Linked DNA regions of Coturnix japonica. The protein of the gene in region 2 interacts with the protein of the main gene of each other region in a biochemical or structural test. Links are inferred from orthologs where the notes say so. Each region holds a gene or a part of one and is shown on either strand. Other genes may lie near its edges.

The links.
Region 1: the proteins of TJP2 (region 2) and CTNNA1 form a complex in vitro, tested with the Homo sapiens proteins (2 studies listed by BioGRID and IntAct, with this or other methods). The link is inferred for Coturnix japonica from reciprocal best matches to the Homo sapiens genes TJP2 and CTNNA1.
Region 3: the proteins of TJP2 (region 2) and CGN form a complex in vitro, tested with the Homo sapiens proteins (2 studies listed by BioGRID and IntAct, with this or other methods). The link is inferred for Coturnix japonica from reciprocal best matches to the Homo sapiens genes TJP2 and CGN.
Region 4: the proteins of TJP2 (region 2) and OCLN form a complex in vitro, tested with the Homo sapiens proteins (3 studies listed by BioGRID). The link is inferred for Coturnix japonica from reciprocal best matches to the Homo sapiens genes TJP2 and OCLN.

Annotation. Positions count from the first base shown.
Region 1 is NC_029528.1:14,039,127-14,046,148, reverse strand, and holds the start of CTNNA1 (catenin alpha-1), read right to left. Parts: upstream 4,878-7,022; 5' UTR 4,743-4,877; intron 3,598-4,742; exon of another isoform or gene 3,577-3,597; intron 1-3,576. UniProt on the Homo sapiens protein: Associates with the cytoplasmic domain of a variety of cadherins. The association of catenins to cadherins produces a complex which is linked to the actin filament network, and which seems to be of primary importance for cadherins cell-adhesion properties.
Region 2 is NC_029547.1:31,073,716-31,081,006, reverse strand, and holds the start of TJP2 (tight junction protein ZO-2), read right to left. Parts: upstream 4,520-7,291; 5' UTR 4,515-4,519; coding exon 4,392-4,514; intron 574-4,391; coding exon 520-573; intron 1-519. UniProt on the Homo sapiens protein: Plays a role in tight junctions and adherens junctions. Acts as a positive regulator of RANKL-induced osteoclast differentiation, potentially via mediating downstream transcriptional activity.
Region 3 is NC_029540.1:2,377,415-2,384,686, forward strand, and holds the start of CGN (cingulin), read left to right. Parts: upstream 1-2,771; 5' UTR 2,772-2,772; coding exon 2,773-2,849; intron 2,850-6,536; exon of another isoform or gene 6,537-6,725; intron 6,726-7,272. UniProt on the Homo sapiens protein: Probably plays a role in the formation and regulation of the tight junction (TJ) paracellular permeability barrier.
Region 4 is NC_029543.1:2,404,158-2,411,214, reverse strand, and holds the start of OCLN (occludin), read right to left. Parts: upstream 4,499-7,057; 5' UTR 4,405-4,498; intron 3,575-4,404; 5' UTR 3,430-3,574; coding exon 2,767-3,429; intron 1,920-2,766; coding exon 1,761-1,919; intron 584-1,760; coding exon 429-583; intron 360-428; coding exon 159-359; intron 1-158. Other genes in the region: OCEL1 (occludin/ELL domain-containing protein 1), read right to left, coding at 4,894-5,016, 5,212-5,350, 5,433-6,214. UniProt on the Homo sapiens protein: May play a role in the formation and regulation of the tight junction (TJ) paracellular permeability barrier.

The DNA.
Region 1 (7,022 bases), on a different chromosome or scaffold from region 2:
GATGATTTTATAGACTGAGGGGGAAGACAGAAGGAAGCCAAACGATTGTGGGGACAATAAAAGAGATCGCCAGAGTCAAAGATTATAAATAGGAAACCAGAGGAAGACACCAGTCACTACCAAAGAGCATCTATTGCTCCATAAATGCATCAACTGTTGCAAGCGATGGAATTCTGATTAAACCAGAACAGTAACGCTCACAGTGTGACAAGTAGAGGGAACAGCCCTTGAACTCCTGTCTTATTCTGTGGCAAATCTTTGACACTGAGCCATGAGACCCCTTAGGCCTCCAAGTCGTGTCCAAGGAACTTTGCTTTACAAGCAGGCACTACATGGGCACACTTAAAGCAGGTACAGAATGGGCAGTTTGTATGCATCCAACAGCGACATTTATGCAGAAGAAACACCTGCTTGCACAGTCCTGCACCTCCACCAGCGCACAGCCAGCTCTGTCCTGATATTTCAAAGCTGTCTCTTAATACAATTATCATTTTAGTCAATAATAATAACAAAGAGCCTCTCTATAGCTTCATCTGAAGATCTCAAGAGCACTTTGCAAAGATGAATACTAACTCGCCCAGTGTTACGCAGGTTAAACGTTATTTTATAAGCACACAGCTCAGTCTTGTTTACATAAAAAATTAAACTGACCCTTTTGGTTAAGTAAAGTTTAGTGCTAACGCAGCCCTCGTGCACACCATTTTATTTAAGCCAGTCTCCTGCGCTGAGGTTATATTATCCAGAAAGATAATGCAAAAAGAATCCTCCCTTAGAGCTGTGGAGATTGAACCCATGGAAGGACCCAGAACAAAGCAGTGAATAAATGAAAACTCTCTGGACCTTCGAGCAGGTTAAAAAAGAAAAAAAAAAAGGAAAAACAAGCCATCAAGGTCACCAGTTTGTGGTAGCATTATTTCTTATTGATTCCCTTATTAATTTAAAAGGTGCCAGTTTGGTAGTTCCCCAAATGTCCTCTTGATCTTGTGCTGCACAGCAGCGAGGACAGAAGCGCATCAGAATCATCTGCCCCAAACTCCCCTCATTTCCTTCAGGCAATATCCAGAAGAAAAAAAAAACAGAGGACAATCTTATTTCCTTGAGCCCTCATCAGCTCTCTCAAGCCCTGTAATTTCAGGCTCCTTGTCCCAAAATAACTACTCAAAGCCACTCCAGACCAAAGTGCACCAACATGCTCACAGCATCTCCTACCCCAGCTTACATCCACTCCCTGCCATCAGCCCCACGCTGACCAGGAAACCTTCTGCAGCATGTGGTGAGTCACAGCTCTGATCTGCAACAGCACAGACAGCTTTGAGAACTGAGATCTGCTTGGAAAGAAGCACACACTGAGAGCTGTATCTCACTGTGAGCACTGAAATCCTACCTGGCACACCACTGCTGGCTCTAGTTTGTTTGCTCATCCCTTGGAAACATTAAGGACTTCAATTCACTCTTAAGATTATAAAGACACAGATGTGCTAGGGAACTGTTTGGCATCCAGTTTGGTTTGTGTTCTCGCTACTGTTGCACTCTCTGTCTTGGTAAACTACCCCCCTTAGCTGTATGACCTCAAGCTTGCCTTCTCCATTCCTAGATGACTGAATTCAAAGAAAGCCTTTCAAGAGATACGTGGATGATACAATGATTCAGGTAGCTGCCTTATAAGCTAGAATTCTAAGTAAGGGAATGTCAAGAGACTGCAGAGAATTTCCACTTGCAAACTGGTAGTATAGGTTGGCACACTGAATTTCCATTGCTTCATAAAGTGTGGAAAAAAAGGTTACTCCTCTCTTACTCTACCAGAGCTGTTTATAAACACCCATGAAAGGGCCAGCAGATGTTTTATGTTGTACAGCTGGGATTGACTAACAAAAAGATGTAATCATGCCAGATAAAAGGTAGCTGGTTCCTTAAACAAGGCGGAATCATGAATCACATTCAAGTATCAGATTTGCTAATAGGAGAATCTATAGTAACCCATTACACACATGAAAACAGTCAACACCCATTCTAACCCTGAATAGAAGATGAAGAATCTCAGTTACTCAAGAGAAGGACCCAACTCACAGTTGCAGTAACTGCATTCCTCCTGTAACTCAATGAGGCACATCACTGCATCGCGCTCTGCCAGCCACTGCTGCCTTATGGCCCCACAGGTCGCTGCCAGTTGGGTTCCTCCAACAAAGGTGCTGCTGCAGTTTTTCTTTCCAGCCTCACACGTTGGATTAAAGCCATATGAAAATACAAGTAGTAACTGTCAAACATCTGCACTTCCTGGAAAGCTGTAACTCAGTTTGACCAATGCATGAGCTACATACAGTGCTACTCCTGATTAGCTATAAAGCCAAGGTAGGGTGGATTCCCAGAAGTAATAAAGAACCCAAATCCTCAAGGTTATACACACCGATGTTCTACAATGTAAGACTTCGAGTGATTTCCAGTTAAGGCACTTCAGCAGGGAACAACAACGGGCATTCAGCTTTGTGTTACATGACCTCATCTCAATATGGTATTGTGCTAACATAATATTCAGTCCTCTTTTATTCACCACGTTTCCTCTGATGTCCAAAGCCAAGAGGTGCCAGTAAAACCAACCCAGATGCAATACACCGAGTCCTTTCAGGGAGGACCATGGCCTTGTACTTCCTCACTCAATACCAACCTTACTAAGCATCCATGATGAGTCGACTGGCCATGCCATTAAATACTTCCATGAACTTAACAAACTCTCTTCATAAGAAAATAACCTTAGAAATTAAGAACTAACAGTAGATGCAACTTCAATGAAGGTCTGACATTCTACTGAAGTCTATTTCCAGCTCATAAACACTTCTACTTATGTGGATTCTTTTGCAAGATCAGTTTCTCCATCTCACAGCTGCGGGAGGAAGATATTCATGCTGCTGAAAACACACAAATTGTTTTTCTATTACATCTCTCAGTTAACTTTATCAGACCCACGGACACCCTGTGAAGCAGCTGTATATTGGTATTTGCCATTACACATGTCAGACACTGGAAATGCTGATGTTACACGAAGCTGGAGAATTTATGGAGACATAAATACTCGCTACAATATTTTAAGTCACCGTTTTGGGTGCGGGATTTCTAATCTCCACCCGCTGTGCTTCCCCCCGCCACCCTGGGTAAACTTTTAATCTCCACTGCTCTATTATTAGAGCTGGCTGGAAAAAGCTAAAGGCTGAAAGCTTGTTGTTTATTATGGAAAAGGTTAGGGCAAAGCCTTCAAAAAAAAAAACAACCAAGAACTAAATCATTGACTTTTCAGAAGAGGAACTAAGATATTTCCATTGAAAACTGTTTCTCTGAATAAAAAAATCAGTTAATGACTCAACATGAAATGATGCCCTTTCCAAAGAAAATATTTCACTACAGGAAGGAAAAACAAGTGTTAGCAAACACACAGCACCCAAAGATGGTCCAAACCGTACCCAAAGACCACGAGTTCTGTGAAGCAAACTGGCTTTCACACCATTGAAACACAAAATGACCACCCCACAGCCCAGCCCAAGGGCTGACAGGCCCCACTGAGCTGGGCAGTGTGTGAAGCCTCACCAGAGCCGGGCTGGGGATGTGCACTGGGATCCATGCAACCAGCAGAGCCTCCCCACCTCCTCCTCTTCCCTGCTCACCACGCAGGAATAACACAGGAAGCAACTCCAGCATCAGGAACAACTCTGGTTATTCAGCCCCTGTCCCAGGAAAATAAAAGGGGGGACGGGAGGGAGGGGGAAGATTGAAAAGGAAGTGGGGGGTGAGGGGAAAGAGCAATTGAATCCAGTCACCTCAGCCATGCCATGGGTGGTCACGTTGGGTGCTGGAACGAGGACACGGGCACTCCTAATGCAAACAGGGAGTGTGAGTTATTGCAGGGCATGGGGGTTATCGACTGGCAGCTCAGTCAGACACAGACATCGCCCTCTGGGTGAGGACGGGCAGACAGAAGCAGGGAATAAAGGGGGAACAAGAGAGGGGTCTGGAAGCTCTACGGGGTGTGGGGGGGTAACATGGGGGCAGACCGCAGCCAGCTCCCAGCAAGAGACACACACACCTCGCTGTGCCCACACCGGGATGCTTCACACGCGTTATGCTGAGCTCAGTGTGTGAAAGCAGAGCGCCTGGTGACCCCGGGAGGGCTGGTGTGAGCCAGCAGCTGGGGTCTGACACTCTCACCCCACGCTTTAAATAGGAGCGATGGGACACAAGTCGTGGCCGGCCAAGGACGAGCGGGGGCAGCGCCCAACGCCGCTCCCAGCTGGGGCGGACGGAGAGAACCGCGCTTAGAGCCAGGCCGCTCCCGAAGCGTCGGAACAGCCCAGGGCAGAACCGAGGAGCCGAACCGAGGAGCCGAACCGAGGAGCCATGCGGGCAGCCCGAGCCCTCGGGGAAAAGTCTCAGCGAACTCCGCGCCGCCACCGAAACTTGCCCGGACTTTGCCGGGCCCCGCCCGCCCTGATCCGGGATCACCCGAAACGGGGCACACCGACACACACAGCGCGGCCCCACAGCCCCACGACCCCACAGCCCCACGGCCGAGCCCCGCTCCCGGAACCCGGCCCAGGCCGCGCTGCCCCCGCCCCACTCGGAGCCCCACAGGCCCCGCTCCCCGCCCGCGGCCTCAGCTCCGACCGCCCCGCGGGGCCCAATGCAGCCGAGCCCGGCCCGTCCCGCCGCCAAAAGTTTCCAAGGCGCCGTTAAAGCGGCGCTAGTGCGATAGTTACCGGAGCAGGGACGAGGAGCCGCGCTGCGCCGCCGGACCCGCACCGACCCCCGGCCGCTTTGTCTGGGCCGCACCCGCTCCGTCCCGAGCAGGAAATGGGCTCTTCCGGGCGCCTCCCGCCGCCGCTCCCGCCCCGCCCGGCCGCTGTTCCCGTCACCGCCCGCCGCGCCGCCCCGCGGGCAGGTGAGGGCCCGCCATGGGGGTCAGCCCGACATGGGGGTCCCACCGCCTCCACTCGGCCCTGCACCCCTTCAGGCCCGGCTGCAGCACCCTCACATCGCCCCACACACCTCGTGCTTGGGGCAGAACCAACAATTCCAGTCACAAGCAAAAATTGTCCAGTTACCGGCCAGAGTGAGATCACAGCATGTCTGCGCTTGGGAAAGACTTTAGGGACCCCCCAGCCCACCCCCCACCAGCACTATTGCAGCCCCCAAGGGCCACATCCACACTCTCAGTGCCTGTGGGACGGGGCCTCATCGCCAGCTCCAGTGTTTTACCATCCTTTGTATGAAGAAATTATGATTATTATTGGTGTAGGGAGCCTGCTTTGGCAGGGGGGTTGGACTGGATGATCTCTAGAGATTCCAACCCCTACAATTCTGTGATTCTGTGATTATACCCAAATTAAACATCCCCTCGTGCAATGTGCTGCGTTCACCCTGCGTTTTGTCACTTGCCACAACACTGAGTGCTCCTACAGGCAGCTGTACAGAGCCAGAGGGTCACCCCAGAGCCTGCTGTGCTCCAGGCTGGACAGACAGTCTGTAAGTGCTGTTAGAAGAGCCTTGCAGGCCCCAAAGTCACAGTGTGAAGCTGCTGTCATGTCCCATGTTGGTGCTGTGGCTCCTGACTGGGACGTTACGGAGTTTAGTTGGTCTTTTGGTGTCTCATCTCAACACACAGAAGTCTGAAGCAGCATCCTTGTGCTGCTTGGTGCGGTCAGTGGCAGCTCCTGCTCTTAGGGAGCTTTTAGGAGCTGAGTGTTAGTCAATGAATGTAGATTTGTGGATGGGGAGAGATGTCTCCAAGGAGTAATGTATTTCAGAGGCTTTGAAGACAGCCAGTGACCACGTTTTCCCTGCATCAAATCACTGGTATTTTTCATAGTTTGTTTTGACATGACTTTTAATTCAAATATCTCTACAGAACTTACGCTCGTACTGGATTGTAAAAACAAATGAATAACTGTAATACATTTCATGACTCATTTGCCAGCATTTCCGAGTTACCTGAACCTATTTGCTCTGTCCTTTGATACCAATCAAAACACAGAGCTGGGCAGCCCTCAGGGAGCAGAGCATACATTGGAGCAAGGCAATTCAGCCCATGTAGATTCCTGGGGTGCCAGCCCCCAGCCCATGTCATGCAGAGCACACTGTGCTTCACACCATGGCTCTCGACACTGATTTTTCCCTGGTCCCATGCATTATCAGGGCTGCACTTCCTATCTAGGCCGTGCTCCTACCAGCCGCTGCTGCAGGAAGGCAGGCGGTGTCCTGCAGCGATTCAGATTGCATTTTTCCTTCCTGCGGATTTAACCCAAGAAAGGGATCCAAGGCAGGGAAGTAAAAACAACACCATTGTTTGTCAGACCAGGAAGAAAACAGGGATCGAGAGTCCGACCCTGTGAGCAAAGTTAATCGAAAGAAAGCAATTCTCTGTTATTATAGAGATGCTATTTATTAGGATGAAGCTGGAAGTTTGGTGTCTTAACAAATGGGCTCTCCTCTAGAAAACACAGAGAAAACAGATTTCTACGCTCTCTGTTTGTACCAAGCCATTAATATTTTGGTGTCGGTTGCACCAGGAATCCAAACTACTCATTTCTGATCTGCGGCGTACTCACAGTAAAATTGAGTTTACACTTCAATAGCTTGCTTTCTTTCATTGCTCCTTTTAATACCGTGTCTTGGCCTCCTGTGGTGGCTTCCACATTCACTGCTTTTGCACGTCTCACATCCTTTCAGGACAAAATGTCAGATTAAAAAACAAAACCAACAAACAACCACCTCTTTTAAAAGTAGAAACCCGAGGGTAGAAGGGCTGGAATGGTGGGGAATCACACGTTCTGTGCCACGCTGCTGAAAAGCAAAGCAAAAACGCAAGCAATCAGCTGGCAGCTCTGAAGGGTTGTGAATCAAGTGGAAAGACGCAGCAAACAACAACAAAATCATGTAAAAATAGAGCCAGCCAGGTTGGGATTGGACTTTGCCTCTTAATTAACAGCTCTCTCAGAACACGGTGGCAGGCTCTGTCAGCAAGACTGAAACGTGGGGCG
Region 2 (7,291 bases):
GTAATATACCAACATAACTTCAGCTTTTCTTAAAAATTAAAGCAACACTTGTAGCTTGCACATTATAGAAATTTAGATGAAGTTCTTTACCACTAAATTCTATGCTGTTTGACATGAAAGTATATACAAACAGATCAGTAGAAATGTGTTCAGTGATACTTACAAAGCTTAAACATTAATCACAACTGCAAGATAAAGCCATCTGCTTTGTTTTTAAGGTTATTCAGTGATGAATTTTGCTATGTGGTTGTTGTGTAGCACATTAGACCACTGTTGCAAAGGCTAAATAAAAGTAAACAGCACTTAAACAGTTAATTTAATTTATTCTTAATATTTAAGAGTCACATTATAGTATGAGTAACTCGCAATTAAGCTTTGAAATGGAAAACATATCTAATTTGTACAACACATTAATCATGCTCTTGGCTCAGATATGCTAATAACATTTATTGTGAAATATATTTAGATATCAGCAGTACTAGTATATCTGAAATGCAAAAAATATTAACAGGCACTCACCTTTTGTAAGGTCACAGTGTACTGTTCCCATATCAGCTCTTCCATGCCTGGGGCCTGTTGCACACAGAAACCAATCAGTAAAACCAAAAGCATACAACTACCTAGACTGTGAAATACCCCATTAAAACACAGATGTAAACATAATACATTTATTACAAGCATTTGGTATAGTTAGTACAAGACACGTGCATTTCACTTAATGATGGTTTACTTAAAAATGGAAAAAGTATCTGAAGGGTTCAGGTTGATAGAATTCCTTCAAATTTCACTGATTCAACTGTTCATTCCAGTTTTCTGGAAAAGCTTCATTTAGTACAAGCAATTAATTCAAATCACACTACCACGATATAACCCTGATTCAAAGAACACAAACTGAGTATCTCTCCAGTCTAGCACATCACAACATCAGAAGTTGGAACTGAGATCTTATAAACCAGTAAGCCTTCAGATCTTTCTTCTTGTTCACATGAATTTGACCAAATTCTAAATCCACTGAGCTATACAACTGAATATTTAGATTCCCCAGCTAAAATTTTATGTTACAGAAAAGCAGTGTATCTCTGTATAGCACGGGTATACACATTTCTATGACACTTCTAAGATGTTTATATTTCCTTTTTTCTCCCTCTCCACATTTCCACTATAAACTGATCCTGAATGGGTCGTGATATAACCTGAAATCTTTGCAACAGCACAACTTAAAATAAAACACAACATAGCCACTCAGTAGTGGTGCATCATACAGCTAGCTCCTTCACTGCCTGGCCTTGAAATGAGGAGGAAAAAAATGAACAACAGCATTCGACACTGAAAACTTTCCAATTCAAAACAAGAGCATTCATTTGCAAAAGAAAAATCCAGGTTCTTCACAAGAATGTGCATGCATGCTGAAGTCACAGGTTTGTTTTTACTGCTGAAAGTAGACATTTTTCTTGGTAAGATATGAGTTTCCTGGGGAAGCAGAAGTCTTATTAGAAGCTCAGTTTTGACTTAATTGTCCCCTGAACGGCTTTAAAAGGATTACTGGTGACTGCGCTCCTCTAAAAAATGGATGAAATGTAACACATGATGGATATGCCTGTGCTGTAAAGCATCCCTCATTTTTCCAGAGCAAATGTATTCAGGCAGTCAATAGCTACTTGGCAAGCCATGGATGCTGCTTCTCAAATGCAGAGAACCCCATAATGTATTCTTCCAGTGGAAGTTTCAAACACCACAAAATGGAACAAATCTTAAATTCTGCTCAGAGTTCCTGCAGGAAGATGCACGACACTCAGCATTCTTATCAGGAAGTTCACAACACCAAACAACATTAAATGTGCACCAATACTTTTCTCCTCCAAAATGGACAATGCTACCCAGTTTCTAGGACTCTCTGAGTCAAACTGAAAACACATTTAGCAGATCTGTTCAGAGAATGACTTAAATTGAAATTAACGTAAGTACTCATAAACCTGTCTAGAATGATCAGCATTTCTAACTTCCTATTAAAATGTCCATGTCTATTGTCAGAGAGTTACTGTGTCTGATGAAGCATATGGTGAAATTATTTTCTCTGATATTCCCACTTTAGCAATTTACATGCCTAACCTTTCAGCAAGCTGACAGTCAACCATCTCACTACGCAAATTCCCTTACACAGAGATCTCCTGTAGACTAAAAAAAGAAAAAAATCTCCTTATCTGCATGTTTTATTCTGAGCTGCTGTGAGAAACGAAATTACTTGGGTTGCTTGTCTGGCATGTATGAAAACTGATAGTTTAGCTACTACTGACACTAATTTATATCATTTCTATCCTACTTTTCTATATGGTATCTTCAAGCTCTGTGGTCTCTACTAAAGAAAGGCCTCTGTGTCATTTATATTACAGTCGGCTTCAATGAAGAGAATTTTAGAAATAAGAGGATGATTGGTAACATTTAAAGGACAAGCAGCTGGGTTCAGATTTTGTGGACAGGTAGATGGAAAATCTTTTCTCTCTCTTACTGCATACAAGCCCAAATAACTTATGTATGTGGCAAGAACATTATTTAAATTCAATTTACACTGCCTGCAGTCCTTACCAATCCTACTTACCAGCCCAACACACTGCTGAGGCTGGCTTACTTACAAAAGTAAGGCAGGCAGACTGCCCTTATGGGCCGGAAGGCAGCACGCACACCCTGCTCTTCCAGCAACCCTAACATCAAGCCTTCTGATATTCTATCTGCAAAAAGGATCATCTGAGAAATGACTCCTTGTTCAATGCAATGCTGCAGAAAAGAGACTAAGGAGAGTAAAGAGACTAAGAGAGGATCTGTGGGGAGGAAAAAACTGAGCTTACAGGAATTTCCTTCACCAAAACGATGGCTCTAGTGAATTGTGGAGTAAAACCTTGCACATGAGATAAGAGACGCATCACGTAGCAAACGTAAGTGTAGAAACCCAACACAGGTAAGTTTATTTGCTCTGACAAACAAGTCTTGTGATATCTGGTCACAAAAACAAACAATAGGAAAGGAAAAGAAACTACTGCCTACAGATACTACAGTTATGATCCTGTAGGATGTCAAGACAACAGCATCATCTCATCTGTGCCCAGAAAATATTCCTTAAAATATCTGTTACGATCTTCACACACGTTCTGTGTAAATGTGGAGGAGGGGAAGGCCAGGGGCTTTTTAGTCTGGAACTGTTAGTAACTATTAAATAAAAGACACTTAAATAATTCACTTTTAAATTTGTAATTAATACGCTTTCAGAAACTGGTCCTTGGGAAACTGACTCCCAGTTGCTGTATACCATATTAGTGAAGGAAAGTACATTATGTACTTGCAAAGCTGATTTTGTGCAACATAATTACCACGACAGCAGGACCAGCTCTGCCATACTGATAAAGCCATTCAGGATCTGCAACACAGTTCAGAGAACTGAATGGTCACCTTGGAAGCCTGCAAGGCAAAAAACACATCTGTACTCCCTCAAATCTCTCAGCAATAATCCCTTTAACATTATAAAAAAATACCGCTGTATGCTATTGCCACGATACTAACCAACAAGGACAGTTTACTGGGGGAGACTAAATGGGAGGAAAAGACTACAAATGCTAAAAATCACCAGCCACGGACTTATAAAACTATGATTAAAAGTCTCCACGAGAATAACAAAATTCCTGTATTCCATGCCCAATGACATGACTGTCCTCTGTCTGCATCAAGTGATGGGTTACAAAAAACTCCCATCACCCCAGCCAATTTCTTCGCTCTTTGTCTCTAGGGAAACAAGAAAGGATCTGAACAGCCTGGATGTCCCTTGTACAATTGCCATTTCAATGCAAGATCACACACAGAAACACAGGAGAAAGAAAGACAGGGGAAACAGCAGTGTTACTGTTACAGCAACAGTTACTGTTAGTAACTGCTTTTCAAGGTTTTACACAGACAGCAGCATTGCTGCAGGATTGCTGCAGGAAGTACAAGTAACTGTCATTAGCTAGTCTGAATTCACTAGTGACTAAAGTCAGTCCATTCCTAATGAGAGCAGCGCAGTCAGGATTTGCTTAAATCTGCCTAATTCTGAACACCAAAACGGCAGGCACTTTCTACATGGCCAACGCAGACCGCTTAACAGAATCCGTGTCAGGAAACAATTCAAAGTACTAAAATCATCTGTGCGCTACAAGCAGCAACTCCCACTGACAGTCATCCGCGATTTATGCAATTACTTGCAACTGAGAGATAGCCTCAGGCAGCTTCTTTCAGAAAACCACCTCCAGAAGACCTGCCACCACAGTTATTGGGCTGTGAAAGTGAGCTGGAGGGGGGAAGGAGACACAAGCCACACAGGGGAGGGAGGAAAGACCCAGAGCAAGATGCAACAAAAAGCAACTCACGTGCCCCCTTAAAATCCTCAACTTTTTGACCGCATGTGACCACATTCTCTGCAGAGCTTGCGCTGTCTTCATTGTCACGGGATATGATCTGTTCGGGGACGCCGTGCATCCTGGTCTTTTCATCTGTTTCTACCACTCCACACGGTTATGTAATTCTAATACAATAGTGGCCTACATACTAGAACAAATCCTGCCGTCCGTTTCACACAGAAATGCATCAAAACCACAGCAGGGAAATCTACTCAGAGTTTCAGTAACTCTCGCTGTAAGAGGCCCCAGGGAAAACAAAAAAGAAAAAAAAAAAAGACTACATCCTTGATTTTAAAAATAATAGGAATAGTTGTTATTTTAAGTGTCAGAAACAGATCAAAACACAGCAAGTTACTCTTTTTACAAGCACATTTTGGTTCCCTCCCATCACGAACATATCTGAAACTTTAAAGAAACAGGGCACTAGCAACTTCAAAGAAAAAGGCACAGAGAAGCACAAGGATGCTTACTTGAAATTTACACTCTGACAGACATATAACACTTTATAGTAAGATTTACCACTTGGCTCCGTTATTTTGCACATTTTAAACTGTGTTTAACAGCCTCTATCAAGTCTCAACAATTTAACTACTGGACCCAGGAAGTCCTTAGGCAGAAGTAATTGTAAGCATGCGAGTAATTCCTTCACCTGCACATGTATAATTACATTTAAACACTTCCAGGAGTTACATTTAAAAATATCCTGGGGATATGACTCTAGCAAGCAAGAAAAAGAGAAACAACTTGCTCATAACCATGAGTAGTGGTTAGATGTTTGATTGCACAGGAAGTAAAATTTTGGTAATAAGCTGATCATATAGCCTGAAAGATGACCTTACTGGAAAATATGTCAAGCTATCACTTCCATCTAACCCATACAAATGATGTGAGCTTAAAATTCGACCAGAGTTTTCCCCCAGACTTCATGCAAGTCTCACAGGCTGTTTAAAATGTGAAACAGACAGGAACACATAGCAATACACAGGTCAGTATGCAATGCTAAGTGAAAAAGCCCATCCACAAGTTGCATTTCTTCCCAAGATGGATAGTTCTAACTGTTGAAGGTAAACAACATTCAATTGAGAAACCTGGAGTTTAAGGATTTTCCCTCACAAGACTGAATTCAACACCCTATGTTTCAACTATCATCCTGCCAATCTCTGGCAATTTCTTGCAGTAGCCAGCAGAACTGGATCACATGCAGGTTTGCGCAGTTCAGCAGCCCTCGCTGGGCTGCCAGAGCACCTGTATGGTTGGAGGACCTGGCACTGGAACCTGGTCAAAACAGTGGATAATCTTCACTAATGTCTCTAAAGGAAAATAATCATTCTGCAGAACAGACACACTCACAACTTCTAAAATCACATTTTCATCTATTTATTTAAAGAAAAGTGGTAATAAGAAGGAACAAATATAAAGATGTACTGGAGATGCCTCTATCCCTGTCCTTGCTCTCCTGTTCTCTTCACTGCCCTGACAATTAAAAAGGTAACATGAAACAAACATTCCCATTTCCAGTCAGGGAAAATGTGGTAAAAAAAAAATGGGAAAACATTCATCATAAGTTGAAGTATTTATGACAACTCTTCTTCCTTGGATTTGGTCTGTTCTCTCCTCTAAAAGAAAAAGAGAAAGCAGGTGGATTATCTCTAGCAACACTTAAAAAAATAATGGGAATAAATAAAAACGTAGCAGTCCAGAAATATCACCACAAGTGTATGCAGTTTTTCTTGTATAGTCACGACAGCAGCAGTCAAGAGACCAGTGAGTTAAGAGAAAGCTGCAGACTCTTGCATTTGCATTTCATTTTGGGGGAAAACAAGTTCTGTAGGATAAGAATCCTTCATTTTAACTCTACTATGTAAGATGGAAAGCTATTTTTAATCCTTTTCAAAAAAAAAAAAAAAAAAAAAAAAAAAAGCCAAACATTGGCCAAGCACATCCATGGTACCTGCATTTAATTATGTAACCAGCACTTTATTTTGAAAACCACACCTTGGTTCTCTGTTCAGACAGCGAAGAGTCTGTGACTCCTGCAGGGACAAATAAACTAAAAACTAACCAAGATGATCTGTCCTAAAAAAAAATAGTGGTGTTAGAGGAGAAAGAAAGTGAGCCTCCAGAAAATTCCTCAGAGCAACTTCAAAACTTCACAACATTCTGGGAACAGTGTGTGATAAGAGCACACAAGGTGGAGAGGTATCATAGCTAATTTGATATGTTCGCAGCATACATGGCCTCAAAGGCTTTAGATTATAAAAGATGATTACAAAAAGAAGCATGTAACATAAACAGGGTAACCAGAGCCTACCAAATGTTTGTAGTTACCACAGTAAACAAATTACCACAAAGTCTGTAAAGGAATGGCACTTTCACCAGGTTTCTCCCCATGTAGTAAGGATTGCCATTCAGGCCACTTTGAAGTAAGAAGGCTCCAACTTAGTTATTCTCATTAAGTATCTGCATATGGTAAGGAAGATCTATGACCAGAATCTAGAAAGATGAGAAAAACTATTTATCCATGTATAATAAAGCCAATAGAGCAGTTGTTCAGAGAAGCCATGTTGACCCATCCCTGGAGGTGTTCATGGCCAAGCTGGATGGTGCCCTGGGCAGCCTGAGCTGGTAGGGGGGCAGTCCTGCCCACAGCAAGGGATTGGAATTAATGATCTTTAAGGTCCCCTCCAACCCAAGACATGATATGAAAACAGCCACCCTACAACAGTGAATGGCTCATATTAAGTAAGAGAAGTGATAGAAAATGTTTTGGAAATAATAACCACTTGGAGTAACTCTCAATTGCTCTTCACCAAGGCACAAACTCTCTTTTTCCACCTAGTTATGAAAGAGAAACACAGAAAATGTACAAC
Region 3 (7,272 bases), on a different chromosome or scaffold from region 2:
GTGTGTCACCTGCCCATTACCTGACCAGGTGTGCAATGTCCCAGTTGGCCTCCAGGGTCAGCGGTCCCTCCACCTCCACTCCCTTCTCTGTCACAACAGCGACTTCATACTAAAGAGAAGAAACAGAGGAAGTTTTCAGTAAAGCCCAGCCTACAGACTTGGATTTATGGTGGGCCCTATGAAAGTTTTCATCATTGACTGCCAATAATAAGAATTTACAACAGGCCCTATGGAGGTTCTCATCATTCACTGCCAATAACGATCACTGAGTTCAACTCAGTGTTACAGATCCATCCAATTTGGGACATTTGATGATTCTATGATTCATCTGCTTTAATGTGGCACCACATTCAGTAATGTCTGTCTTTTTCCTGGGTGGATAAGCGGAGTTGGCTCACTGTGGTAGGACGGTTCCTAAAGCTACGGGATTTCAGCTCTGGGTGTCACCGTGGAGGAGATGGGAGATGAAGCACAAACAGCACTCACTCTGTTGAAGGACCGAGCATCTCTGTAGTACAAAATCTTCATGCAGCGCTCAATCAAGTCGCGGGCTTCCTCCTTGGTCAGGCTGGGCTTCTTCTCCAAGACTTCTCTCATCAATGGCTGAATAAAAAGTCATCAACACCCAACAGCTCAACAGTCAGTCACCCTGCACCGAGCTTGTTGCTTCAATGTGCTCCGCATTCCCATTTGTGAGCACTAACCTGAGCCAAGTATGCGCCATACCCCGTAGCGAGAGTTGGGGCTTCATAGGCCACGCCGAGCATGTCCACGTAACCAAGGAAGCTGAAGGACAGAGCTGTGAGCATCACTGCTGCACAAGGGGAGGGCACCCAGAGCGCAGCTCATAGCCATGGGACCCCCCCATCCTTCTCTGTTTGGAGAAACTCTAAAGGATGTTCCCATCCAACAGAATTGAGCTGATGGGGTCAACCCCAATGTTCCATGTTCCCGTGTTCTCACCTCTCACCATTGTAGAACCCTCCGATGACAACAGTGTTCCACAGTGGGTTGATTTTGGACCTCCGGTTGTACATGACTCTGGTCAGCCAGGAGTGAATGGCTTTGGGGCTGTAACTGTGGCCATCTCCCAGCAGTTCCTCATCAATTCTAAAGCAGAGAGAAACATCATTCAACTCAGAGGAGCTGGGAGCCACCAGGCCAGCACCCAACCCACCTGAGCAGGACAAGGGATCGCAGAATAAGACTGTAGATTCATTAAGTTTGGAAAAGACCCCAAAGATCATCAAGCGCAACCCCAACCCATCACCACTCACAGAATCAGTGGGGTTGGAGGAGATCTCTGAGCTCACCGAGTCCAACCATCTATAACCACTAAACCACATCCACCCTCCTCTTGAAAACCTCATGCCAAATCTGTGGGCTGCCTGGAAACGCAGACTTTACACCAAGAGAAGCAGCCAAAGGCCACCAGTAATTAAAGGAGCTGGAGGATCCCAGTGAGTCCCTCCAACCTGGATGTGCTGCTGTGCGGCTCCTGGGACCAAAAAGACTTACACCATCTGGTTGATGATCTGAGTCAGGTACTGGAAGTCAGCATAGTCCCCGGAGGCGCCCAGCACGGTGCTGTCGTTCACCTTCAGCAGCCGGGAGATGCTGCGGAACCGCGCCAGGGACCCGTAGGAGCCCATCATGTCCGCCGCGATGATAGACAGCCGCGCATGCAATACCTTGGCGAGCCGCAGCACGACCTGCCGGTCCAGCCAGTCGCGGGCTCCTGGGGCCGAACGACATGCACTGCCAGCCGCAACCCCCAACTCCTCGGAGCCTCGCCCTTCCAGCCCCGATGCGCACCCTCCAGCCCCAGGCGACTTCCTACCCCCCCAACTCCTCGGAGCCGGCCCCAGCCCCATCCAGCCCTCCAGCCCCAAGGCAATCCTACCCGCCCGGAACTCTCGCAAGCTGTCCCAGCCCAACCTCCAAGCCCCCCCCACCCAAATGCCTCGAGAGCCGCCAAGCCCGCCCCCGCTCTCTCGAGCCCCGGCGAGTCCACCTCAGGCCAGGACCACTTTTGCTCGCCCCCCGCGCCGAACTGCGCTCGGGAGCCGCCGCAGGTCCGCCCTCCAGCCTCGCTTCCACCTCAAGGCCTCAGGGCACTTCCTACCCCCCCAAGAGCTTCCTTGCAGCGTCGCCGGAGCCCCCGTCTTAGCCTTCCCCCCAACTCTCGAGCCCCCAGCCGCCCCATCCGACGCTTTACAAGGCCCGAGGGCCGCTTACCCTCCCCCCCACGTGTGGCCCCGCCATCCAGGGTGCCCCCCCGACCCACACCATTGGTGTCCACAGCCCCCCCGCGCCCCGATGGCGCGGGTCCCCGGCACCCCAGACACGCCGCGTGACTCCGCCCGTCCATCTCCGTGCCCCCCATTCCCCCCCCCCATATCTCACAGGGTAGCGCTGTGGGGCAGCAGCCCGGTCCCGATGCCGACCCCCCCGGGGCTGTACGCTGCTCCCGGTGACGGACCCCCGGCCCAGAACGGCGGCGGCGCGTTCATTGCTCCGACTTCCATCTTAGTCACAGTGCGGCCGCGCTGCGCACGCGCGCCGGGAAGTGCGGCCTCCGCCGGCCACCGTAGTGCGAGGGGAGGAGTGGCGCCATCTTGAGGGCGGCGCGGGATGCGCAGAGTGAACGGCGCCATGTTGGGAGTGGCGGAAGTGAGGCAGGGCCGAGAGAGCTGGAGGGGGCGTGGCCGGGGGGCGTGGTTTGCGCGGCTCGACTCCGCCTTAAGGCGGGGCCTTGAGCGGAGCGGACCAATGGGAGCGCAGGGGGCGGGGCCTGCGGAGGTAACAGGTTGGGGCGGCGGCGGAGGTGCGCGGGGCGGTGCGGAGCGGTGAGTGCGGGGCTGTGGGGGGTCGGGGGTCCCGACCCCATTGCGGGGCTCAGAGGGGCCGGGGATCAGGGAACGGGGTCTGCGGGTCTTGTCCTGCACTATGGTACAGCATATAAGGTCTGAGGGTGTAGGGGCTGCTGTCCTTAGAGTGTGTCCTGCCCCGAATTGGAGCCTATAGGGTTTGAGGCTATAGGGGTCGGTTCTGTGCAGCCCATTCAGAACCCATAGGGGCCGGAGTCATTGGGGCTGGTGTCCCTGGGACGTGTCCTGCCCTGTGATGGGCTGTACAGAGGCTGAGCACAGTGTTGCTGGGGTCCATGCAGCGTGTCCTGCCCCACGGCAAAACCCAATGAGGGTCCCGTCCTGCTCCATGGCAGAGTATATAGGGCTGGGTCCATAGGGTCTGCTGTCCTTGGAGGTTGTTCTGCCCCATGGCGGAGCCCATAGGGCTGTGCCTGCTGCTGTTGTCCTTCCTGGGTGTGCTGTGCCCTGTGGCACCGTCTATAGGGCTGGGCTGCAGGGCTGCCCTTCCTGGGCTGTGCCCTTCCCCGTGGTAGAGCTTATGGGGCTGGAGCCCTGCAGCAGGTCCCACTGGGGCTGACTCTGCATAGGGGTTGCTTGACCCTATAGTCCCATATAGTCCCCTTAGGGTCTCTTTAAACATCCCATAGGGTCTGGCTCTGTTGGGAGGTACCCTGCCATACAGAACTCTCCGAAAGTCCTTGTTGTGGGCTGTGATGTGACCCATAGCACATCCCATAGAATACCCTCCAGTAAGGATTCTTCCCTGCTTTGGGTCTTCCTTCTTCATCTGTAGGATCCCTCATTGATCCTCTGTCCCCTGTAGCCCCTCCCTGCCCCTATAGGTGCTCTGCCCCTTCCATAGGGGGGTCTGCATTTCCTTACAGACCCTCTGGGCGCCCATGCTGCCCCCCTCCCACAAAGCCCCACTGCGATGTTCCCATAGGCACTGCTCTGTAGGGCCCCGGAGCCCCACAGATCCCATTCCTGTCCCTTTCAGGGCTGCTCTGCTCGTAAATTCCACACGGCCTTTGTGTCTCCGTCCTTATCTCTGCTGATAAGAGCCATGTCCCAGCCCTGCTCCTCCCACCCCAAGCACCTCTGGGATTGTGAGTCCGTTCCCTCCAGCCCTTGTCAGGACCCAGATAATCATTGTGGAGCTGCCCAAGGCTGAGCCCCATCCCACAGCAGGGAGAGACCTGTTGCTCCAGGACCTCAGGGCATCACTGGGGCCGACCCTTCCCGGCTGCAGGCAGCCGTAATGTGGCACCTCCTGCATCTTTAATGCTGCCCTACTTCGCTCAGCTTCAGTAGGAGAGAAATGCGTGTGCATGGTGGGATGTGATGCTGCCAGCCCCAATCCACCCCGGAATCCCCAATGCTGCTGGGCTCTTGGTGCCAATGGAACCCTAAATGACACCACCCCCATCCCTGCGGTGATGGGTAGGGCTGCCCGGGTCAGCTGTCCCCGGGATAACCCTTCCCTGTGCTCCGTGCTGCTGTTCCAACCCTTTGTTTGGAGCATACGGATTGCTCTGGGCTGGGTTTGCTCCCCGCCACCCTGACCAGTCGAGCTGGTTTGGAGTGTGGCTTGTAACTTGGATCCCATTGATAAGGATCCCATAGATAACGATTCCGTAGATAGCGGGGCTCGCAGCTTGGATTCCGTAGATAAGGATCCTGATCCTTTAAACAGCGATCCCATTGAAAGCACTGCTTCTAGCCCTGATCCCATAGATAACAATCCCATAGAGAGCAAGGCTTCCAGTTTGGATCCCATAGATAAGGATCCCCCAGATAACATTGCTATAGGACAATGTGATTTCCAGCTTAGACCCCATAGATAACACTCCTACAGACAGCACATCTTCCAACCCTGATCCTGTAAGCAGCAATCCCATACAGATACAATCCCATACTCCTTTTCTAGCTTGGATAACACAGTGATCCCACAGAGAGTGTGCCTTCCAGTCCCAATCCCATAGACATCAGCTGGGGTTGGCCGTTGGGTTGGACTGTTGTGGTTGGCCATGAGGGTTGGCTGTTGGGTTGGACTGTTGTGGTTGGCCATGAGGGTTGGCTGTCAGTGTTGTCGGGCTTTTGTGGTCCATTGAGTTGACCACTGAGGTCGGCCATTGGGGTTGGCTGCACGTAGACTCTTGGGTTGGCCAATAGCGTTGACTGTTGGGGTTTGCCGTGGAGCACCGTGTTGTGACCGACAGGTAACCATCCACCCGGGGATGGCTCTCAGCAGCCGCTGTGTTTTCAGGGCTGGGTGCAGGGAGTGGGACGGTTCCATCGTTGCCGTGTTGATGATTAACCTGAGCGCGGTGACGTCCCCGGGGCGTGGGGTGGACGCGGCCCCGTGACGCGCTCCCGGTTTCGGGTTTCGGCGATCGTTGCTGTTGGTCGGGGTTGCAGGCAGGGCATGGAGCCGTGCAGACTTTGTCCCTGTTGAGCAACCAGCGCTGCAGGTGGAGCAAAGAGCCCGAAGCGCAGAAAAACGGGCAGAAAAAGGCGATATTTCTGTGCTGGGATCCCGCTGTCCCCGTTCCCATGCCTGGGGCCGGGACGTGCGGTGCTGATGTCCTTCCCCTCCCGGCGCTGCCCGTTGCACAACAGCTCTGTGGGTTGCGGTGCCCACAAAGGGCCCTTTGTGCTCCGTATCTGCATGAGCGGAGCTGGCCGCCTGCCACGCATGGCTGCGGGACCCACGGGCAGAGCCGGGTGCCACCGTGCGCTGTGGGCGACGTGTCCCCTAGAACAACAAATAGGGTCCCCCTTTTTATCACCCTCATCCGCACTGCGATCCCCTCCTGGGGGCTGTGTGCTGTGTGGGATCAGCTCCGTGTTCCCGTGTTGGAATGCGGTCTGTTCCCCTTTATCTGAGCGCTGGAGCCCAGCCAGGATGGGGCATTCCCAGGGATTAGTGCTCACCTGCTCCTGGCTCGAGCTGTGGGGCTGGACCCACTGTGTGCCCATGGGGGAAAAGGATCCGTCCTCACTGCTGTACCCATAAGGTGGCAATGGAGTGGCCATGGGGACACGGTGACTGTGGGGTATCCATGGGGTGTCCATGGGGACACGGTGACTGTGGGGTACCCATGAGGTGGCCACAGGGAAATGGTGCCATGGGGTGACCGTAGGGACACAGTGTTCACAAGGAAACCATGACTGTGGGGTGGCAATGGGGTGGCCATAGCTTGACCATAAGGTGAGCACAGGACGACCACGAGGACATTTGGGGTCTGGTGCCGACCTCGTTGTCGTGATGCCACGTGGGGACAAGGAGCTCATGGCAGCAGCCCACGTCCCCATGGCCGCCCCGCTGGGTGCCAGGTGCTGCCACCTCCACCATCTGCTCGGGGCCGGTTCCTGCTGCACCAAGTTTGGCACCGACCCTCTGCCATGTGTTGGGCTCAGCAAACCAGCACCACCAGCACCGCGGGGTCCCCGTGGCCATTTGTCCTCCGCAACGTGCCCAGAGCTTTGGGGTGGGCACGGGGGGGGGATGTGGGGGCTGCACTGGGGTGACATCGGGACCGAGAGCTTTTAATGTGATATTTTGGTGCCGTTCTTCCTTTGTCCCTACGTGCGGGACGTGGTGACCCCGGCTCAGTGCCACCATCCCATGGCCGTGTGCTGAGCGCGTGGTGCTGGCGGTGCCGCTCACAGTGCGGTTATTTTGGGCAGCGATCGGAGCTGCCGGCACCGGAGGCAGCGGGTGGAGGAGCGCAGCGCTGTGGGGCCGGGGCCGCCCGGGGCGCTGCTGTCGCTCCGCATCAGCCCCGCTGGAGCTCCCGGCGCTGCGGTGGCCGCGGGTCGGTGCAGGCGGAGGGCGAGAGGAGGACGTCGGTGAGTGCCGGGTGTCAGCGCTGCGCTGCGGTGTGGGGTCGGTCCGGCCCCGTGGGGTCGGTGCTGAGTGGGGCTGGCGGTGCTGAGTGGGGCTGGCGGTGCTGAGTGGGGCTGGCGGTGCTGAGTGGGGCTGGCGGTGCTGAGTGGGGCTGGCGGTGCTGTGTGGGGCTGATGGTCCACTGGTGCTTTATGTGAGTGTTTCACTGTCGGCTCAATCCGGAGAAAGGGATTTCAGCACAGACTGGGAGCTGTGCTGTGCATGGGAGCAGTGCCACCGGCTCCCCAGCACTATGGGGTCGCGTCCCCGCTGTGGGATCACATCCACAGTGTGTGGCGCTGCCTGTCTTAAAGGCAGCATCAACCCCATGGGTCTACATCTGCCATATGGGGCCACATCAGCTCCGTGGAGCAGTGTCCCCACTGTGTCTCTGTGTGCCCCCTTGGGGTTGTGCCTGTCCCTGTGAAGCTGCCTTCCTGCTAAGGGACCATATGTGTCCTATGGGGCTGTGTCAGCCATACAGGGCTGCATCCCCCTAGTGCCGTGGGG
Region 4 (7,057 bases), on a different chromosome or scaffold from region 2:
GACCCTCCTCACCATAGTACAGACAATGGGACAACACAAAGTGAGCCCCCAGGGGTGGGGGTGGGCAGGTCGTTCCCCCCTCACTGGGAGCATTGGCTGTGAGTTCTATGGGGATGGCTGTAGATGGGGGGCACCCACAGGACCCCCCTCCCCCTCACCTGGCCCATTGCTCCTGGTCCCGTTCATCACCAGACTCCACTGCTGTGGTGTAGTCGGTCTCATACTGGGATTCATCCAGCTCAGGGTTACGGCGACGGCGGCGGCCACGGCGGGCAGAGGGTCTGCTGGGCTGATCCTTCCCCTTCTCCTCCTCCTCTGCCTGCACAGGGCTGGTACTGAGGGCACGGTCTGGCTGGTCACTATAGGGACACAGGGACATCAGCATGGCCATATGGCAACCCCTAACCCTAAGACCCCCAGCCACTCACCCCCGGCTGCTGTAGGTGCCTGAGGTGTAATACCCAGCGCTGGGGGGGGGCACGTAGCTGTATGGGGGGGCAGCAACGGGGCTGGTGGGCTTCTCTGAGTAGGCAAGAGTGGCCGTCTCGTCCTGCACACTGGCCCCATCAGCCACATTCTTCACCTGCAATAAGAACAAGAGCTCACAGGGGGACACGGACACCAAGGGGTGGGGGCACCGTCCCCATAGGGATGGAGAAACCCCCCCTGCATTAGGGGTGGGAGATCACAGACCCACAGGAACCCCCATGCTACACTGCACAGAGCTCTGTGGGGGTCCCAGCCCACAGCTCAGGGGACCCCACAGCCCTTCCCACAGCCCCAGGTGTCAGCCTCCGGTTTGGGGCTCCTGGGAAGGATGTCCTCTCCTGTCCCCCCCCCCTTTTTCCTTCCTGCCCTTTGTGGCTGTTTGTGCCGGATGCTGACCCAGCTGGGGGCCGGACGGTGGCTTTGGGGACGTCAGCTCCAGCTCCGGCCAGCAGAGCCCCTTCCTCTGCCTCTTCCTCCATCATTAAGTGATCTCCCCCCCCCCCCCCAACAACTGGTCCTCCACCAGTGCAGGGACAGCCGGGTCCCTATGTCAGACTGCAGCTCACACCCACACAAAGGTCACTGCTTCGCCCCAACCACATGCATAGAGTGAGACATCCTCAAGGTTGGGGGGGGGGGGGCATTAAAATTACTCCCTGCCTGCATGTATGGCAGCACCACCCCATACTGCTGCCATGGGGCACTGGTAGAGATGGATACACTGCTATGGACTATGTTGGGTGTGGGGTCTGTGCCCCAACCCTCCCAAGGAGCAGGAAATGCCGGGCTGGGGAGGGACGTGGAATGAAAATAAATAAACCCGAACAAAGATGTTTGTGCAGAAGGAAAAGCAAACAGTGGGCACACAGACACGGAGGGGTGCAGAACCTGCAGACCCCTGGCACATCACACCCATCCCTATGGGGCTGGGAATGGGCAGGTGGGACCTAGACATGGCTGTGTGTGTGTCAGCACATAGAGTTAATCATTGACGAGACCGAAACCCAGCAGTGCCTGCAGCCGGTGCAGAGCGGACAGAAGGGACGGGCTCAGCACTGCTGGCCCCCGGCCCATCTGATCCAACCCTGTTTGCCTTTAGGGCCAGAGAAGGGAAATAAAAGGGCTGCTTGGGGAAGGAGTTCAGCCCCACGGCTCCTGGTACAGCACTGTTTGTAGCAGGAGGAGCTCCTGATATGGGGCACAGCCACGTTCCCAGCTCCCAACCTGCTCAGGGTAGGAGGAGGATGCTCCCATTGCCCCCCTATACTCACCCACTCCTCCACATCGGGCCCCTCCTGCACTACGGGTGCACGGTCCCAATAGATGTTGGCTTTGCCATAGCGCCAGATCTTGCTGCGTGTCTTCTGGGCGAAGAAGCAGATGAGGCAGAGCAGGATGGCAATGAGGAACCCACAGACAGCAGCCACAGCCTGGAGGGGAAGCAGGGAGGGGGGGGCTGAAGGGGTCTGCACTCACCCAGCCCCCGTGTGGGGCTGAATGGGGCAGCTCTCCCCCCATAGACACCCATAGGTTAGACAGGCAGTCCACAACACAGAGCCACCATGGGGTTTGTAGGGCTGAAGGCTGGGTTTTATCATGGGAGCAGACGGAGGGGACACCCCAACACTGCACCTCCATTGGGGTCAGCTGAGCATGGAGCTCTATGGGGCACTGAGCACAGCACCATGTTGTGTCCCCCCCCCCTCCTCCACGGTGCAGCAGTGTTATGCTCAAGGTGCAGGAATGCAGCACATCCAGCCCGGCTGCCACAAACCAGCAGCACCGGTCCCACCCCAGCACTGTACAGGAACCCTACAACGGCCCCAGCCGAAACCGGGGCCGTGCAGAACCTGCTGCCTTCTGCCCCACTGACCCCAACCAGCACAGCACAGCACAGTCCGGCTTCCCCTCCCTGCTCAAGTCCTTTTACAAGCCTGGAGACCAAAGTACCCGGGAGCAGCTCAGTGTTGGGGCACAGCCTGTCCCCTCCCCGAAACTCCTGTGCTTTGATGGCCACACGGTGCCATCCCCCTCCCCTCCACCCAATGCAGCAGCACCACAAATGGGGGGGGGCATTAAGAATGGGGACACCACATCCCCATCAGGACACACTGACCCCAAATTGCTCCCCCTACGACCTCATTCTGCCTTTAAATCATTATGGGGGGGGGACACCGCATCCTCATCTCCATCAGGACACTCTGACCCCAAATTGCTCCCACTACAACCTTAAAGGGCTGACTTTAAATCATTATTGGGGGGGGGGTTCACACTCACCTCCTGCGGATCCACAGTGCAGTAGTGGTAGATATACTGGTTGAGGTAGGTGCCACCATAAGCCTGGCTGCACATGGCCAACAAGGGGCTGTAGTAATAACCACTGGACATCTGTGCCTGCGGGTTGACCCCCATGATGTAGACGATGGATGCGATGAGCATGACGAAGGCCAGCACAGCGCTCAGCACCAGCACAGCCAGGTAGAATCGCCGTGAGCGTGTGGCCCCTGATTTACTGAGAGCAGCCACCAACAGCCCCAACTGGGCCAGGAAGCACAGCACGGCCATAGCGATCATAAAGCCATTCGCCGTGCGTTGGTTCACCCCTCCATAGTAGCTCCCGTAGCCGTAGCTGTAGCCCAACGAGCTGCCGTAGTAGCCGGTACCGTAGAACCCCCCCAAGCCGGTGCCATAAGCCCCCCCCAGGCCGTAGCCATAGTCCCAAGCGAGCGTGGATGCTACACAGGCAAAGATGGCAACGCAGAGCAGCAGGACCCCCCCCTGCAGCCCCCGCACCACGCCGGGGGGCGACGTCCACTTATAGAAGTGCTGCGGAGCGTCGTCTACGTAGTAAGAGCCCGGAGGGGGCGAACCGTAGCCGTAATCAGCGCCGGGGGGGCCGTACATGGTGGGGGGAGAGTCGTAGGATTTCTTGCTGAACATGGTGAACCTGCGGGGGGGAAGGACGGAGCGCTGACACCGCCGGTTCTCCCCGTCCCCGTTGAGTTCAATGGGGGACTTTGATCGCCGTCGGTCGGTCGGTCGGTCCGTCCGTGTGTCCGACGCGTCACAGCGACTCGTAGGGAAACTGAGGCACGTTTTGGGGCGGGGAGAGACGGTGAGTCAGCGCTGGGTGCTCAGCCCTGCCCGCCCGACCCGCCGCGTCATGGGGTCGTCTCATTAACAAGCACAAAAGCGATTAACCGAGGGCAGCGCTCACCCCCGAGGGCCCCTCCGGCAGCAGAGCTGCTGGGATTAACAAGCAATGGGTGGGGGGGGGGGGTTCACTGCCGGTTCTTCCCCTACCCCGGACCCCCCCTCCGCACTCAGGATCGCCCTTTGCTTTTGCTTTGCTCTGAGTTCACAGGTGTTTGCAGCAACAGCGCAGGAAGGTTGGGGGGGGGGGGGGGGAGCAACGCCATGAGGGGCAACGGGGGGAGACGGGACGGCTCTGCAGCCTAAAGCTTCCCCCCCCCACGATGTACAAAGGCACAACCCCACAGACACAGCACAACCCCAAGCATTGACCCTCCCCCCCGGCAGGTGCAATATGAGAAACCCGAACCCCGCGGGGTAACCCGAGCGGAAGGCAGGCGGGGAGTTGGGGGGGGGTCGCGATGTCCCAACCCCCCCCTCCCCGTCCCCAACGCAGGTCCCGGAGAGGGGAAGGATGGGGAGGGGGGGGGCTCTGTGTGTCCCCCCACCCGACAGCCCCGAGACGTGGAGCCCCTCCCGGTGCAGCCCCCCCCCCCAACCCGGTCCTCGCAGCGCTCCGGTACCGGCGGATACAGACGGAGACCCTCGGAAGGACCCACAAAGCACCACCCCCGCCGCTACCGGGACCCGCACTCCCCCACCCCGGTTCCGGTATCGGTTCCGGAGTCCCGTACCACCGCACAACCCGTCACCTGCACGCACCTCCGCCGCTTTGTTCACCTTAAAATGGCAGCCGGGAGCGCTGCGGGACGGGACCGGTCCCGGTTTCCGCCTCCGGGGGGAGCCCCGAGGGCGGCCCCGCTGCCGTTGTCCGCCCCCATTGCGGGGAGGGGGAGCGGGGGCTGCGGGCGGGGGTCCCCGTAGTGCAAGGCTGAGTGGGTGACATCGGAGCATCCCCGGGGCTCTGGGTGCCCCCCACCCGCTGCGGGTCCCCCGAGATGCATCGAATCCCCCCGGAAACATCATGGGATTTTATTATAAAGTGCCCCAATCCCTCTTTGGCTGCACCTGCTTTGTGCTGGGGGGGGGGTGCAGAGCCACTAGAGACCCCCAGATTTGCTCCCTTTGCCACAGTGGTTGCAATACAGCAGGCAGTGGGTGCCCATAGTGCTGTCACCCCCAGTACTGAGCCCCACAGTGTCCACAGGGCTTTTTTTTCTGGGGGGGGGGTCTCCATCCATCGTGCCCCGCTCAGAAGAGGACGGTGCTGCTGCGGTCACTGTTGCGGTCATACTCCTGGATCTGTGCCTTAATATGTGTCAGCTTCTCCTTCAGGTAGAGGCAGCGCTGCTGCTTTGCCACGAAGGCCAAATCCTGGCAATGGGACACGCTGAGCACCGAGACCCCCCCCACGCAGCCCACACCCCTCACCCTCCTCACCCTCTTCTCCCCCAGGAGCTCACAGCAAACACAGACCCCCCCCTTTTTCACCCTACAGAGCAGAAAGGCACAGCCCCCCCCATCCCCACCCACCCACCCCCTGTGCCCCCCATCTCATCGCACACCCACCTTGCCCACAGCATCATCATCCTCCCCCCACCGCTCCGCCTTCAGTCGGCCCCGCAGCTCCCGATACTCGGCGTGTTGATCGACGAACACCGCCCCGTATTGCTGCCGCTGCCGGGAGCTCCGGATCGCCGGGTACCGCCTGCAGGAGAACCACCACCAGCTCAACCCACGGGACCCCCCATGGACCCCCCCCCCCCTTCACACCGAGGATGGTCACTTACATCATGTAATCAGGCTGGGGGGGCACCGAGCCTGAACACTTGCTCTCTTTGCTGGTGGTGACTCCAGCCCCCCATAGGGGTCTCCCTGCCACCCCCACCTCATCCTCGAAGATTACACGTTTGGCTCGGACCAGCGGAGGCTTCAGGATGGAAACTGGGGGGCTCAAAGCCCCCGTGGGCTGCAGGTTGTCCATAGGGCTACAAGGAATCGCTGCAGCCCCCTGGTACCAAACCTTGAGAGCCACGGCACTGCCGGCCAGGTAGAGCAGAGCAGTGAGGAAGAGGAAGAGGAGAGCGGCCGCCTGAGCCCCATCCACACGGCAGAGCTCGGTGAGGAGGGGGCTGCCAGGCAGCGGGGAGGAGCAGAGCCCCCCCAGGGTGACAGTGTGAACGTGGGCCCCCGCCGCAGCCAGGCAGAGCAGGAAGAGCAGCACATAGAGCCCTGCTTCGGTGGGGGGCCACCAGGTGACCCCCAAGAGGATGTGATGGTAGCGGGTGGTGACCCCCAGCAGGAGGGCAGTGAGCAGCCAGGCCAGGCCGAGCACTGCCAGCACAAAGGGGGTCAGCGGGACCCCCAGCCCCCCCCCAGGGAGCAGCTCAGTGCTGTAAGCGCTGTAACCCCATGGGATGGCAGCACACACACAGATAAAGGCCGCCCCCCCGCACAGCAGCTGCAGCCCCCCCAGCACCCACAGCAGTCCCAGCCACGACTTCAAGTGCTGCCCGACAGCATCATCCCGTGGTCCCTTCTTATTGCTGGGGGGGGTGAGCTCAGCCATCATCTCCTTTGGTGATGGGATCCCCCGGCGGTGGCCGTGCTGCTGGAGGGGGGCACCAGGATCCCCCCCCCAAGTCCTAATGCCTCAGTTTCCCCTGCAGGGTGCACTCAGCCCTGCTGCAGCTCCGTCCTTGTCCTGTTGATACTCAGGACCCCCACCCAGCCCTGCCTCCCTCTGCCCCCCCACGTTACCTGCCTGCTGCATGGCAGGATGTGGGCCCCCCCCCCCATCCAGGAGTGCTGCAGCCGCTACCTGCCTCCGATTGGCACCATGGGTTAAACATTAACAGCTTTGTGCTGCCCTACAGCGGGCGTGGGGGGCACAGTGAGGGCTGTGGGGTGTGGGCTGGAGGCAGGAGCAGCCCCCACCCACCCCACTGTATTCAGCTGCACCTCAACACCTAAGACCCCCCCCACCCAACCCCTTAAGGGCCCCAATCCCATCCCCACCCCGGCACCAGTCCCACTGCCACAAGCACAGAGTGACATGTCCAGTTCAGCCTCCTTTAATGTGTGCCTCAGCCCCCACCTCCCCCCCTGGCCCTCCCCATACCGAGGGTCCGGCTCAAGGGGGGGGGCACAGCCCCCTGGGGGTCCCACATAGGGCCCCATGGAGCAGCTTTGCCCCCACACTGCACAGGGGCTGCTTGGGTATTGCATCCAGGAATCTCACAGCACTTGACAATGGTCGGTATCGTCACCCCTACCCACCCATTTTACAGATGGGGGAAACTGAGGCACAGAGTGGTGACGTGACTTCACCAAGGCTGTGATGTGGCCGAGCCAGGACCCCCCAGACCTCAGTCCCAGGACTCGGTCCTGCTCTTGCCATGGGGAGGCTGCCCCC